2 linked regions of the Oreochromis niloticus genome follow. The protein of the gene in region 1 interacts with the protein of each later gene in a pairwise test. Links are inferred from orthologs where the notes say so. Each region holds a gene or a part of one and is shown in the gene's direction. Other genes may lie near its edges.

Region 1 (7,355 bases):
CCGTTAAATCCAGACTGGCCAGGAATAAAAGACTGGAATAGCACTAAAATCTATCCAATTTCCCCTGCAACAAAAAAGCATCTAAAACTACATAAAATTACATTTTAAAGTAAAGGGATAATTTAGGAGAATGTGAATACAATGAAATGAACAATTTAACTAATAGATTAATTCCAGTGAATGTGGAGGGTCTCAAGAAAACAGTGTCCAGCACAACAAATATTAACCTTACACTGTATCCTAAAGTATTTGTTAAAGTATAATCTGTATAAAGGAAAAAGAAAAAGAAAAAAAACATGCCACATTGTAGGAGAAGAATGAAAGCTTTACAATAGAGATAAACTTGTGTTTTAAAAAAAAAAAAAAAGTATAGTACAAGTCTGCAGGAGACTGTTTGGTCACTCTGATGTCCCACACAATGTTGTGAGTCGATTCTGTTGGGAAAAATAAAAATAAATGATGAGAATCAAAGCATATGCAAATATTTCACATCAAAATTTGGCTAAAGCTGCAACAAAACAGTGACGAAAAGCTGATGAAACTGTGCAAGTAACGCTGTCCTGCTGGAGTTAATTTACCTGCAGCTGCCGAATGCTCCTCATGGCGGTTTCGTCCAGCAGTGACAGATCCACTGAGTCCATCTGACTGGCCAGCAGTTGAATGCTCTGGATCAATATGTGAAGGACAGTTGTGTTAGTGAATTAGTTTTTGAGAATTAGCCTTCTAATCCAGAGTTTTGTTAGACAATTAATTACTCAAAAGCCATGAAGTCATCAAATGTAACTAAACAGTCATCAACATAAGTATAAAATCAACATGAAAGCAGAAGACTTGAAAGCCAATTTAATGCATCTTTAAGCTCATTTTCAATAAACCGCATATAACAAAGTATTCAATGTTTTATCTTCCTGAAAATAGACGTCTAAATTTCTTTAGTAAATATTGTTTCCTCTGCTGCCTTGTTAAAATCATTTCTTAAACAACTGACTGATCAATAGTACCTGAAGCTCTGAGCCTGACTAAATGTGCACTCACCTCTCCATTCCCAACGGGAACATTGATGACAATATCCTCATTTCCTGCTGCAATGGGAGAGCCGTTGACTGAAATGCTATAGACCCTCTCCTTGTGGCGGGGAACTCTCACTGCGGGGGTCTTGGGAAGCCTGAGGTGAAGTGAGTAATATGAAGCCTTCTTTGTAGGGAATGTCAACATTGCAGAGTAAATAGCACGGTCTGCCAGATTACAGCAAGTCTCCAGTCCCCGCACACTTTCTAACACTCAAAGACATTAGATCCACTTACAGCTCTATGAGAGCAGAGATTTTGCTTTAACGAGAAGCCTGAGCTTTAATACAATACTTTGAGCACTTGTTTGTCTGTTTGCCCATGTTTTCACAGAATCACTATCTATTCAGCATGAACTGTAAATGAATTTGTGCTAGTAAAAATGTCTCAGTACTATGTCTCAGTAATAAAACACTGAATATAAAGACACAACACTGCAGAAGTCTTCAGTGAGCTGCACTGAATAACCACATTCAGGACAGGTGTAGATGTCAACCTGTGAGGACGACTGGTGCACTGCTAATGTTATCCACACACAGCAAACTAACCTGACCAGTATGTGAGTCTAGTTTCTTATGCACAATATAAATCTGACCCGTCTTCATCTGTGCTCAATTTTGAATCCTTTTTTTAACCATTTTATAAATACGTTTTCTCCCCTCTCAATCAACTAGAACACTAATTGCTATTGCCAGAAACACCATCTTTAGAGTGACACAGTATAATTCTAAGGTGTACCTTGGGTCAAAGCGGGGGGTAATAAGAGGAGTGGGTCCCATCATCAAAGAAGAATCCAGCAAGCTTCTGGCAGGAGTAATCAGGGGGTTCTTGTTCGATCTGAATCCAAACAATGACAATGTGTTAGCATCACATTTATTAGCTACCAAACTTGATTCCAAAAGTTTTTAGAAAGGGAGGAAAGAAGAAGAAAAGAAAGAAAGAAAAAGAACAATACAAAAAGTAAAAGAACTTACCGTCTGATGGTGGAGCTCTGCTTGCTGATCGACAGCGCCTTTGCCCTCTTTGTTTTAGTCGGGGGCTTTCTGGTAGTTCTCCCCTAAATTATAAACAAGCATTTAAAACACCACAAAAGAAGCAAACAGAGTATCCTGCATAACAACAGCTGTATTTAGTTGCTCTCATGTATGACTGTGTGAAAAGCAGTCATTACCTTTTTTGTTGTGCTTGGGACGTTTTCATCCTCAGAGCTCAATGTAGCCCCACCTTTCTTCTTTGATGCTGTGGATTGGACAAAACAAATTGGATTGGCTACAGGGAAATGGTTTCCTTGTTTCATAGGAAATGTATAAACTACTTTTAACTCACTTTTCTCAATTGTTTTTAGAAGAGATGTATGATCCTTAGCCACGACACTTTCCACAAGAGCAGCTTCCTCTTTTCTCTATAAATGCAAATATAACTGAGTGTTTATGCAGAACAGAGCATCGTTACACAAGCATGAAACTTGTATATTAAGTATAATTTGACAAGGCTAATCAACTGACCTTTGCACTATCGAGTTCTGGTGTTTGTGGTTTCTCAGATTCTGCAGAGATTTAAATGTTCTTTATTTAATGCTGTTTAAAAACCAAAACAATATACACTATATACAGAGCAGCAGTGTAGAGAATACTTTTTGGTAATAAGCTATATATAGCCTGTCAGGACTAATGAAATTCATTCAAGATGAAATGCACAGATTTTTGAAAATGTACCATTAGCTTTTTTAAAAATCAGAGCAGAATGCTGTAAAAGTCTCTGTGGCTCAAGAGCACTTCTTCTTCATAGATTTGGGATTTGTTAGTCAATAAACTATGTTTACTTACTCCAATGCTCCAACCAGTTCATTTGTCTGACAGCCTTGGGGAGCTTAATTATTGCCATGTTGTAGCTGTTGTCAACATCTTTCAGCAGCTGGTTTATCTTCTCTTTCAGCTGTCCAACTCTAGTCTTCACTGCAGAAACACAAGTGTTGAGTCCAGCTTAAGTTATACAGTGTCAATTCAGCTTAAGTTATACAGTGTCAGGGTGGGGTGGATGGATGTTAGCATCAGTGGTTATTTGTGACAGTAGATTGGATCAAGAGTGAAGGTAAAGATGCTAAGATTTCCACTGGTAGTGACCAGAAAGGACATATTAGAAATTAGTACATGTGAAGGATGGCTGAGGTTGAGTGGTTTGGAGGCAAAGTTAGAGAGGCAGGGCTGAGATGTCATAAACATGTGCAAAGGAGGGATAGTGGAAATACTGGACAAAGGGTGTTGAATATTGAGCTCCGAAGCTGGAGGAAAAGGAAAAGGTTCATGAATGCAGTGAAGGAGGACGCGCAGAGGGTTGGTAAGACAGAGGAGGATGCTAAGGATATAGTGAGCTGGAAGAAAATGTTGTTTCGGTTGTTCCTAAAGTGAGCAACCGAAAAAAGAACAGGGAGTATTTCTGTAGCATTTCTATGGTGAGTTAAAAATAGTAATAATAATCACCCTCGCTGTCAAAATCCTCCAGAAAAGCTTCCAGTTTTGCCGTCTTGGGGTTATTCTTGCGTTGCTTGGTAGTCCTTTTCCTGGGAGCCATTTCTGACGGACACGGAGTATATTAGTACATTACAATATAGCCTAGTACAGTACAGTATAGTGTGGTATATTAACACGCGATAGACACAATGAAATATTAACATTATGACCCTTAATGGGGAACAAAAGAAAGTAAAAAAAAAAAATCTGCCTACATGCGGCTAACTGTTGGTGAAGCTAACGTTAGCGAGTAGCTTTAGCTGAGTTAACGCTTATTTTCTGACCTTATTTTCGACAGCTGTATTTACACCTACCAATATGTGTTACTGGTAGGTGTAAATACAGAATATGATGTATTTACATGCTTTATTTAAAGTATATATCATTACCTAAATGTGTTTTTCCTGTTCGTTCTCGACACTCGCCTTCCTTCCTTCACAAAGCCCTTTTCAAATCTTCGCGCGGGGAGGGGCCAACACGCCAGATCAGCCAATTAGGACGCGCATATGCCTTGCGTCGCAACAACTTTGTTTTCAACCTATCGTAGCGCCGAACGTCAGTGTTTACATCAAGAGAACGGAAATGGTTCAGGCAACATGGTAGAAATGTGATGTTCTGTAGCTGCGAGAAGAATCATTTAAAAGTCATTTTTTCATAAAGTCGCCTTCATGGAAAATAAGACATAAAGCTGACTTAATGTATTTCGTATTTTTCCCTTTGGACACTTAAGTACTAAAATCGTTTGCTGAAATGTCTACGCTTGCGGTAGCTACGCTTCATCAGGCTCTGAGGAAAAGCTTCGCGACACTTGAAAGCAACCAAAAAGTATGGAAGAGTGTTTTAGCCGAGTGCAGCCCTCTGATGGTGTCTCTCGGGAATTTGGCGGAGCAATCGAGAGCACTGTCCAACGTGCAGATCTCCAACACACCGCTCAGAGTTTTTCCTGACCTGGAGGAGAGACTCCGCTTTAAACTCCTTGAAGCAACGGATATAGTGCTGGGAAAACTCAACGAGAAGATGTGAGTAAATCGGCTTTTATATCTGATAAGGATGCTGCGTTATTGGTATTCACATCAAACTATCCATGTTTGATGGGAAAGGAGTACAGCTACACCCTTTTTAGTAATAAAAGATCAGTTTATATTTTAGTAAGTAAATGGATCTTTGGAGAAGAACCTTATTAGTACCAGTTTGCAGAAGCTGCTCAGAGTATGCTTCAAGTATATATTATACTATAATTTTTATCTCACCCTCCCTTCTTTCCTTTCCTCTTTCTTTCAGGTCTTCCCTCCAGTCTGCGAGGGATGCCATCAGTAACCAGGTTGCTGCAATCCTTCATCTGTACGAGCAGAACACACACAGTTTAGATCTGCTTGCAGTAACTGAGCGATCAACCACCACCCCGTCGGTCGCTGACATGCTCGAGTGGCTTCAGGATGCTGAGCGTCACTATCGGCAACAGTATCCTTTTCTCTCTTCAGTTTTGGATGTTTATGTTATATTCTGGTATTTTTTCCCCTTAACTCTTGTGTTCAGATTCCTGAGGAGGAAAACTCTGCTTCAAACACTGAGAGCAGATGACCTCTCACTTCTGGAATCTGCTCCCCAAAGGTGGAACTCCTTGGAGTCTCCCAGTGCAGAGGACCACATCACAGGTAAAATGTATATGACAAGTACTTCACTATATCATTCAGTTCACATCTGTAATTAATGCTGTATGATGGACTAGTTCTTTCAACATTGAAAGAAGCTGAAGATGTTTATAAATGTACTTAAATCCAGAACAACACAAGTGCTGACAGACTGTCATCTAGCATACATCTAAAGTCATGTAAAGATTTGAAAACAATAGATTAAAAAACAACTGTAAAAACATAATTCAGGGAAATATTATGTCACGGTTTTAAACTTAATCTTTTTTCCTGTTACACTAGAGGGCGTCTTTAAATATTCTTTTTCTATCACTTATAATCAATCATAAAGGGACCTACCTTTATGGCCAGTATTCATAAAACTTTTAAAATTCATCTCAAGTAGCAAAACCTAATTTGATATAATTTCAGTTTTAATAATTGAGTACACATTGGCCAGAGACCAGTGCTCTGATGGATCTAGAAGTGACTGTTATTTATTAAACTAATTATCTTGCTCTCTTTTCTTTTCAGATACACTTTGCAAAGTGTCTTTCTTTGTGGAGTCGCAGTGAAGATGGTTAAGGACTCACCTAATCGTGAATATAACTGCATTTTAATGAAGACGATGAGAACAAAGAGATCCAGAAGAACGACTGAAACTAACTGCACATTGACTTGAACTGATGCACACAAATGTCGCTTGGAGGGACGATGGTGCAGGGAAAGCTCCTGGTTCAAATCTCCTGGTCAACTGTTGGTTTTTGTGTGGAGCTTGCATGTTATTCCTGAGCCTGCAGGGGTTCCATTGGCTTCTTCCCACAGTCCAAAAACACAAACTTGTATGTAAATTGGCTGCCTGGATGTGAAAGTATGAATAGTTCTGCTTCACTCTGTCTCCCATGATGAACTGTTAAGCCCAGATAGGATCAGCAATTAAAAATGGATGAGTGGACTTAAATTGCTCCTAGATCTACTTTGAAGGGAAACCAGGGTGCCCTAAAAACTACAAATAAGTATTTACAAATAATGGGGCCAATGTAAAGTATTGATTTATCTTGAATTCAGTTTGGATGGATTGAAATGTTTTATCCAGTACGTATGAGAATTTTGAGCACACATACATCTATATATTTATTGCACAACAGAACTGCATCTTTAAGGTTTCGTTATTTTTAGAACATGCTTGACTCTTATTGGTACTACAGTTCAGAAGAGTGTATCAGCAGGTGTCCAAATCATAGTTAACCTAGTTCAAATACAGCAGTGTAAGTAGTACTGCTCATTCTTACCTGAACTTCACTTTCACTGTGTCGTTCTCTCACAAGTTTGGTCTTATATTTCGTTTTTAAAGGTCTCATAAACCTAAGATTAGTGTTAGGGTTGGGTTTTACTTTAGTCAGAGGCTAAATAGACCTGAGAGGTCAACGAGGATTGCCGGCTCGACAGATCTAAATCTCCACTTGGAAATAATGGTTATCTCTGGTTTCGGGGTCATGTGACTTTTCTTCAGTACAAAATGATCCCTGTGAGTGCGGCCTACTCCAGAGACTTTAACAGATGAAGATGATGATAAAATAGTGATTAAAATGTATAAGGAAGATAAAAATAAGGTAAAAGCAATAGTTTTAAAAATAAGACCGAAAATTATTGCTGCTGAAAATAGTTAACTGTGAGATTTACATGAATTATTAATTATTATTTGGCTTAGTGCGCCCTTGATGCATCGAGCCATAACTCACAACTCATGCTGTTTATTTCTAAGGTGATGGCTGCACATCAGAGCTCTGAGACTTTAAAATTGATCCATTTAAAAATTAAATGTTATTGTCCCACATCGTAATAAAGGAGACGTGGAAAGCACTATAGTTTTTCAGCAGGTGAAAGTGAAATTAAATGTATTGATTGAAAAGGTATTCTTGGTGTGTGTGCTGTTTTATTAGCTACAAATCTAGCAGTGTAAACGAGACTCAAGAGCAGAATAAAATCAAGTATAACAGAATTTACTGCATCACCAAATTAATACATGTACATTCCCATGAGTATATAGCACTTAATTTAGTGGTTTTAGTAAGGTACTTCTTAACAACTTACACATATAAAAAGTATTCCCCTAGAAACTTAAAACATAGTGTAATTTAAAGATA
Region 2 (7,298 bases), on another chromosome or scaffold:
CTTCACAGAAAGTTAAACAAAAAAAAAAAAAGTTGGCTTGTCCACCCAACATTCCAAAGTTGATTTAATTTTCCACAGTCCTGTCCCTCTGATTGAGGAATTTTATTTTATTTTATTTTTTTCCTCTTTGCTGGTGAATGAAGTGGGCATGTGTGTCAACGACAGGGTTCCCTATTTAGCCTAACGCTGATTACCTCATTTACAAATCTGCAAATATACTATTCTACTGTGTGTAAAGGAGTCAATGCCATCACCAGCAGCGCGGTCTCGAGACCTGTGATGACAACAGGACCAATGAAGTTGAAATTAGTCAATTTTGAAATATGACCAGTCTGGGAATATAGGGTTAAGACACGATTCAGACATTATTATTTTTTTTCTTCTTCTTCCTTTTCTTTTTTTTTTTTTTTTTTTTTTTTTTTGTAAAGATGAATGAGCCTCTTAAGATTTCTTTAACTAGTACATCACCACAGCTGCTACCCCAGTCAATGCAGGAGCTGTCAGAAAGCTGCAGATACTTTTATTGTTTGTTTTTTAAATAGCCAAGTCAATATTCAAAGTTAAAATCAAACACTTGTTAAAACACAGCTCTTCAAACTCCAACTGGACTAGCAGCTGTTGGCACTAGCATGGTTCAGGAAGCCTGGTGTATCACAATTGTTTAAGTGAACGATCACATTAGCTTCACTTGCTGTTTTTTCAGTAGCATTTCTCCTACCTCCTTGTTTTGCAGCCTTGAGTATTGTTAGTCTCTCCACCTGTTCTGACTTAAAAAAAAAAAAAAAAAAAAGTTTATTCACAGTACGGGAATACAGATTTATCATAAGCAATGGTAGTTATACATAAAGTGTGCTTGGTTGTGCTGTATGTGTACTTGTCTATTTGACGTTGGAAAAAAAAATATTTATGAGAAGCATTTATACGACAAAATACCACTGGAATGTGAAGCCAGACAACGTTATGATGCAGATTATGATGATAGTCTATCCCCTTTAACATTCAGTGGCGAATGGTCAGAGGAATCATCTTTTTAAGAAAATGAATAACCATTGGCTTTATATTTTAACAGCATTTATTTCTTTGGTTTCCTCTTATGCATATACTTCCCCCATCTAGCCCTATGGTATACAATATTTCAACGTTTACAGCTTCCTTCTGGGTCAGCCATTGATTTTTATTTTTTTTTTATTTTTTCTCCCCCCCTACAGTTGTAATGATATCACAGGTTGTCACAGGGATGATAGTAAGGTGTATTTGTAAATGTGGATGAGTTTGAGCCCCTCGAGCCGTATGCCTTTGAATCCATCTGTCCACTCTGTACCAAATTCTGCTACACAGGCGTCTTGTTTCCGCACTGCCCCAACATTTTACATCCAGTTTTGAGTACAAAGGGGTACGGGACAAGGGTGAAAGGTTTGAGGTTTTTCAGACCAGGCCCCGCCATCCCACCACCCTCACAACCACCCAACAGCTCACCCATGCCTACTCTAAGACAGGACCAGCCCAACTCCCCCACCCCTCCCCTCCCCTCTCACCCACCGTCTCACCTTTAACCTCAAGCCATTCATTTTTCTGTTTTTGTTTTATTTTAATTTTTTTCGACAATGCAATCCTGAAAGCACTTTGCCTTGTTATTCCTTTGTGTGAACATGTGAATGATAATTTGTTACAGAAATGTTAAATATGTAAAAGATCATTCACTGTTTTGGAAAAACCTGCATCTGTCTTTCTGACGTTAAAAGGAAAAAAAAAACAATTTAGTGACATTAAACCTGAATCTATTTTATAAAATGTTTGCTGCAGCCAATTGGTCTTGTCATTCAGTATTGTGGCTTAGGGTTGTTTGTGTTCAATAAAGTGCTATTGCTAAATATTTCTTGAGTCTGGAGTTATTTATGTTTTTCGTGTGTTGTGTTTTCGCCAGTCTTTCAAACTAGGAACCTAAGAAAAAAAAAAAAGCTGAGAAGACATTTTAAACCTTTTTGTGTGTGTGTGTGTGTGTGTGTGTGTGTGTGTGTGTGTGTGTATGTGAGAATCTACTTGAGGCTTGAGGTTTCTCAACTCAAATGAGGAACTGACAAAGCAAAGAACTTGACTGTATTTACCACCACTGTTAGCTCACATTTTATAGTAGTATGATGGGAGTGTATTGGACTTTGACCTTTGTGTGTTACTCATAAGGAATTTATATACTTTTTAAAGTGTTTATGTTTTCTGCAAAATACAGTAACAAGCGACATTAAAATATTGATCTGCTGGAGTTTATACCAGATTGAACCACTAGTTTCATAAGAAACTAATGTAATAAAACGAGTGACTTGCATGCAAAAGTAATGTGAATATTGCCATATCTAGCTCTAAGTTTCCTCTAACAGCGAGACTAATTTGAACTCAATTTTATCTTGCTTAAAACCACATAGTTTTATAAGAGTACCAGTGCAGTTCAATGACACCGTGTCAGTGTTGGAGGAGCATGCACTCACACTGTTATAGACGGAGTCATTCATTTCAGTGTCTGCCCCCTTCTGCTAAACCGGATCCACCCACTCTGCATAAAGTGCATTTTCTATCTGGATATTTCTACCTATTTTTTCCCCCCTTCCTGTTTACCTTCTGTCCTAAATATAACATTATGTTCTTTCACTGCATGGCTGAGAAAGAATCGTGTCATATTTGTGTGGCTGTGCTGTGGAAAAGTAATGAGCAACCCTCTGTTTCTTTATGCTTTGCTAGGAAAATGGCAAATGGTTGCAGCAATTCAGCTACATGCACAAACATATCTTGAAATCTGGTATTTTGGCAGATTGCACAACTCCAACAAGATTGAAAATCAATATTTGGTATTCCTAAACGATGCCTGAACTCTCTTAGACACATTTTAGTCTGTAAGTAGTCTTCAGGAATAATTATATAGGCATCTTGAAGGAGATTCAAAGTTCTTCTTTGGATGTTGGCTAATTTGTGTTCTGTTCCCTGTCAAAGTCACCCCCACACTGTTGATGTCTAGGCTCTGGGAAGGTCAGTCCATGATGGATAGTGATCCATTTTGTGTGTATGGTTTTTTGTTTGTTAATCCGGGTATTCTTTAACTTACTTTGCTTTTTGTGGTCATTGTCATGATTATAAATTAAGCCATTCATTGTTTAGTTCTCTCCTGACCTCCTCCAAACATTGAGACAAAAATGTAAAATCTGGATTCATCATCCTCACACCAAACTGGTCATTACAGATGGATCCCCCTCACTGGGACTGGTCCTGCAAGAGGTTTTTTTTCCAGGTAAAGGGAGCTTTTCCTTCCCACTATCACCAACTACTTGGTCACAGGGAATTGGGATGTTGGGGTGACTGCTGGGGTTTTCTTTATTATTACCAAGTGTATACCTTACAATATAAAGCACCTAAAGGCAACTGTTAATGAACTGTAAATAAAATTTAATTTAACTGAACTGAATCACATGTTGCGACTCATTGTCAGTCATGGCATACCTCAGCATTTTCTGTTTTAATTTTTTAAGAATGGCTTCTTGACAGCCACTCTTCCACTGAGACCATTTCTAATGATGCATTTCTGAGGTCCTGTGTCAAGTCTTTGCTGACTTTCAGACACAGTTTTTTTTTAGGCCTTCCACTTCTTTTGTCTTCCAACAGGCTTCTAATAACAAAGTACCTAAAGATGCAATTTAAAATCAGATAAATTAGCAAAATCTTTGCTAATGCGTTATCCAAAGACACAACACTAGTTCATCCCATGACTTTGTTGCTTTTTAATGCTTGAATGATTCATTCAAGTACTAAAAAGCTTGTCTAATAGAGTTTAAGAGAGAAAAATGTTTTCATCTGAATATGGTGGATAATAGGAATGGACTGAAAATGAATGAATAAAACAGCCAATGTCCCAAAAAAATCTTTGAAAAATCATCCAGAAAACCTAAAGACGTATTGTTGAAGACAACTTTAAAAATATAAGAAGATCAAAATGGAAGATTTTGCTTCCTGGAAGGAAATTATAAAGAAATGAGAGGTAAATCAAGTCTTTTGCAGATTACTGTATGTATTTGTGCCATATTTGTCTTTAAAAATGAAACCATCACGGAAAAAAATTAACTGGTAGTTCTAGTCAGATTTGTGTAAATGTGTATTATAATATGGTCTGTAAATGAATGAAGATAGAAAGATGAATATATATAGAGAGAGAAAGTTAAAGGACCAATCAAACGAACGTTGTAGCAGTACGTCATGACGTCGCCGCTCGCTTGCGTCTCAATGACGCTGAAGTGTAGGATGTAGCACAGGACGTGGCTATCAAGCTCCTAGCTACACTGGGACGTCTGAAAAAACACAGAATTCGTCATAAAGAACTAGTTTAATACACGCTTAGGTAAGTATATCTGTTAGTTATGGTATTTTCTTCTAGAGTGTGTAATTGTAAACGGATATTTCTCTGTGTAATACTCCTAGACTGAGCTCTGTCTGGTTAGCTTGATGCTAATATCCAGGGAAAACCAACGGTACCGTATTTGCTAAAAGGGATGGTTAGTGGAATAGCGATAGCTACATGTAATTCGTGACTAGAGAGGGGTGCTTATATCTGAGCATTGTTGTGCTTTTTGTGCGATGACCCCAGTTTCTTTAATTATAAACCCCAAATAACAGGGGCAAAGTACAGCGTTGTCAACGAAATATCTTTCACATAGCTAACGTTAGCAATGCTAATGTTTGCAGGGCATGTTGAGAGCAATTGGAGAAATGGGGGTCTGTAAATCGCCTACATGTGCCGCTTTCAGTCAAATTGGGTCATCAGCCAGTCAGCTGGAATGACAGGATGTTCTCATTAGGTGCTGTAGGTGACAGTAGGGTTAAATTTACACAACGTTAGGTCAAGGGCATCGAGTCAGGGCTGTGTGCTCAATGTCTTGAGTCATTGTTCCTTTAAATTTTTTTTGATTAAAGCAGAAAACGATGTTCATAAAGATAAAAAAGGTGTGGGATGCTGTTAGGTAAAGAATATAGATTATTGCAAGAAAATTTGAAAACGACTGAGCTCACGTCTTTTTTAATATATCTCCAGATAAATTGCGTCGATCTTGGATTTTGTTCCATGCAAGTGCAATCAATCTAACAATCTCTATGAATGTTATAATTTTTCTTTTTCTTTTTTTTTTAAACTCTTTTAGCAGGGAGGCCATTTTACCAGATGTGACGTATCAGCAAAACATCAGGACCTGAATGGAAACATTTGAGGGCTTTTGTGCGTGAGGTAGGCTTAAAGTATTTGAACTATGTAAAGGATTTAGGCAGATTATTTGGCATTGCTTGGCAAGTAATTTGTCAACACGTCTTGGTAAACTTGTCACTGTTCTTTGAATCTGGGTTTTCTCAACTGCTTTTGATTCTTTATGTAAACTCAGACTGAGCTGATGGTGTTGAGCAGAGTTGTATTATGAAGCAGGTTCAACATATCCAGGTTTTTTTTGCATTAGCTGGCTTTACCAAACCTAAAACTTTATTTGGACATAATGAAGATTTTTATTGATTCTCACACTTGCATAAAAAGGGAATTTGATGCATCACATGACTGCTTTTCAGCATAAAATTGCCAGATCGTGTGATAGGGATCTAGAAAGAACATACAAAAATATAACCTCATTATATTTTAATAATTGTGGCAGTTGCTGACAATTGTAAACCAAAACTCTGAACACGACCTGCTCTGGACCAGGTTAAGAGTTTAACATGAGTTACCATGGTGACCAACTTGACACTGAAAACTCTTGAGTTTTAAGCTTGACATACACTGCTGAACTATTAGTCTCGCTTTGTGGTACACCCCTCAGGGCTAGTTGAGTACCATCTGGTGTTTTTCTTGTCACTAAAAGTGTTTGTTGTTTTTTTTTTTAATCACTTTGGGGTCATTATCATGCACCCAAATAAATTTAGGATCAGTCAGTGCCTCTCTGTTGCATAAGAATGCAAAATACTTAAAATCTTTGTACAGATTAGTATCATCTGTGTACAGTTGTGTCTTTAAGAAGTTAATATGGCTAAAAACCTTTTTGTGTGTTGTTCAGGAGGTTGTGGGTAATGTACCATGGGGTACGACGTTACGAGGTTTCAAGGGGAGGTGGATGAAGACCTGTTGTGTCCAATATGTAGTGGAGTGTTAGAAGAACCAGTGCAGGCAAGTCTCTGATCAAAATACACCCCACCTTTTAATTCTATCTGTTTTTCTGACATTAAATTTGTCTTCTATGCATATGGATTTTTCCACCTCAGGCTCCACACTGTGAACATGCCTTCTGCAATGCCTGTATAACGCAGTGGTTTGCCCAGCAGCAGATTTGTCCTGTTGACCGCACAGTAGTGACGCTGGCTCACCTCCGTCCTGTGCCCCGCATTATGCGCAACATGTTGTCCAAACTTCAGATCAGCTGTGATAATGCGAGCTTTGGTTGCACAGCCACACTGCGGTTGGACCAGCTGCAGTCACATCTCAAGGACTGTGAGCACAACCCCAAAAGGCCTGTCAACTGTGAGGAGGGATGTGGGTAAGTGGATTCCATAGAATAAATCCAAAGCCTTATGTGACATCTATAGAAACACTAAGACAACCATAATAATATTACCATAAATTGTTATAAGAATGTGACCTCCTTTGTATTTTGTAGTATTAAATTTTCTTTTCTTGCTTAATATTCTGTCTTTCTCACTCTTGCAGGCTTGAAATGCCCAAAGATGAGTTGCCCAATCATAACTGTATTAAACACTTGCGGAGCGTTGTCCAGCAGCAGCAAACTAAAATTTCAGAGCTGGAAAAAACTGTAGCAGAACATAAACACCAGCTGGGGGAACAAGTAAGAGTATTTTGCCAACACAATAGTATATTTTTGACAAAATATTAGGTCTAGTCTTGATAAAATATTAACAGTTGTCTGTCTGTATGATATTTGGCAGAAATAATTTGAGTGCCATGTCTTTGTGGTATAAGACACAGATGCATGCCTGTTATACGTGCTTGATGGACGTGCAATAACAATGGTCTCCTCATTCTTATTGCACTTTTTTTTTGGTGTGGACATGCATCTATTTGGGCTTTTTAAATGGGCAGTTGCAGATTTTGTACTTGAGGCAGTTTTGAGAGGTTTTCATTCACTCTATTGCTTTTCATTTCCAGAAACGAGACATTCAGCTGCTAAAAGCCTACATGAGAGCAATTCGCAGTGCAAACCCGAACTTGCAAAACCTTGAGGAGAGCATCGAGTACAATGAGATACTTGAGTAAGTGAAGGTTTCCTTTCCTC

What was found.
Region 2: the proteins of airim (region 1) and rnf41 interact in binary tests that used the Homo sapiens proteins (3 or more experiments, as listed by UniProt). The two-hybrid records come from large-scale screens. The link is inferred for Oreochromis niloticus from reciprocal best matches to the Homo sapiens genes AIRIM and RNF41.

The regions. Positions count from the first base shown.
Region 1 is NC_031985.2:14,097,423-14,104,777, reverse strand, and holds airim (AFG2-interacting ribosome maturation factor), read left to right. Parts: upstream 1-4,147; 5' UTR 4,148-4,327; coding exon 4,328-4,596; intron 4,597-4,858; coding exon 4,859-5,038; intron 5,039-5,113; coding exon 5,114-5,232; intron 5,233-5,742; coding exon 5,743-5,783; 3' UTR 5,784-7,124; downstream 7,125-7,355. Other genes in the region: cdca8 (borealin), read right to left, coding at 399-434, 579-665, 1,036-1,165, 1,806-1,904, 2,042-2,124, 2,239-2,306, 2,394-2,469, 2,573-2,613 and 2 more. UniProt on the Homo sapiens protein: Part of the 55LCC heterohexameric ATPase complex which is chromatin-associated and promotes replisome proteostasis to maintain replication fork progression and genome stability.
Region 2 is NC_031984.2:9,466,506-9,473,803, forward strand, and holds the start of rnf41 (E3 ubiquitin-protein ligase NRDP1), read left to right. Parts: upstream 1-4,221; 5' UTR 4,222-4,378; intron 4,379-5,174; 5' UTR 5,175-5,257; intron 5,258-6,068; 5' UTR 6,069-6,088; coding exon 6,089-6,178; intron 6,179-6,273; coding exon 6,274-6,545; intron 6,546-6,715; coding exon 6,716-6,851; intron 6,852-7,171; coding exon 7,172-7,275; intron 7,276-7,298. UniProt on the Homo sapiens protein: Acts as E3 ubiquitin-protein ligase and regulates the degradation of target proteins. Polyubiquitinates MYD88. Negatively regulates MYD88-dependent production of pro-inflammatory cytokines.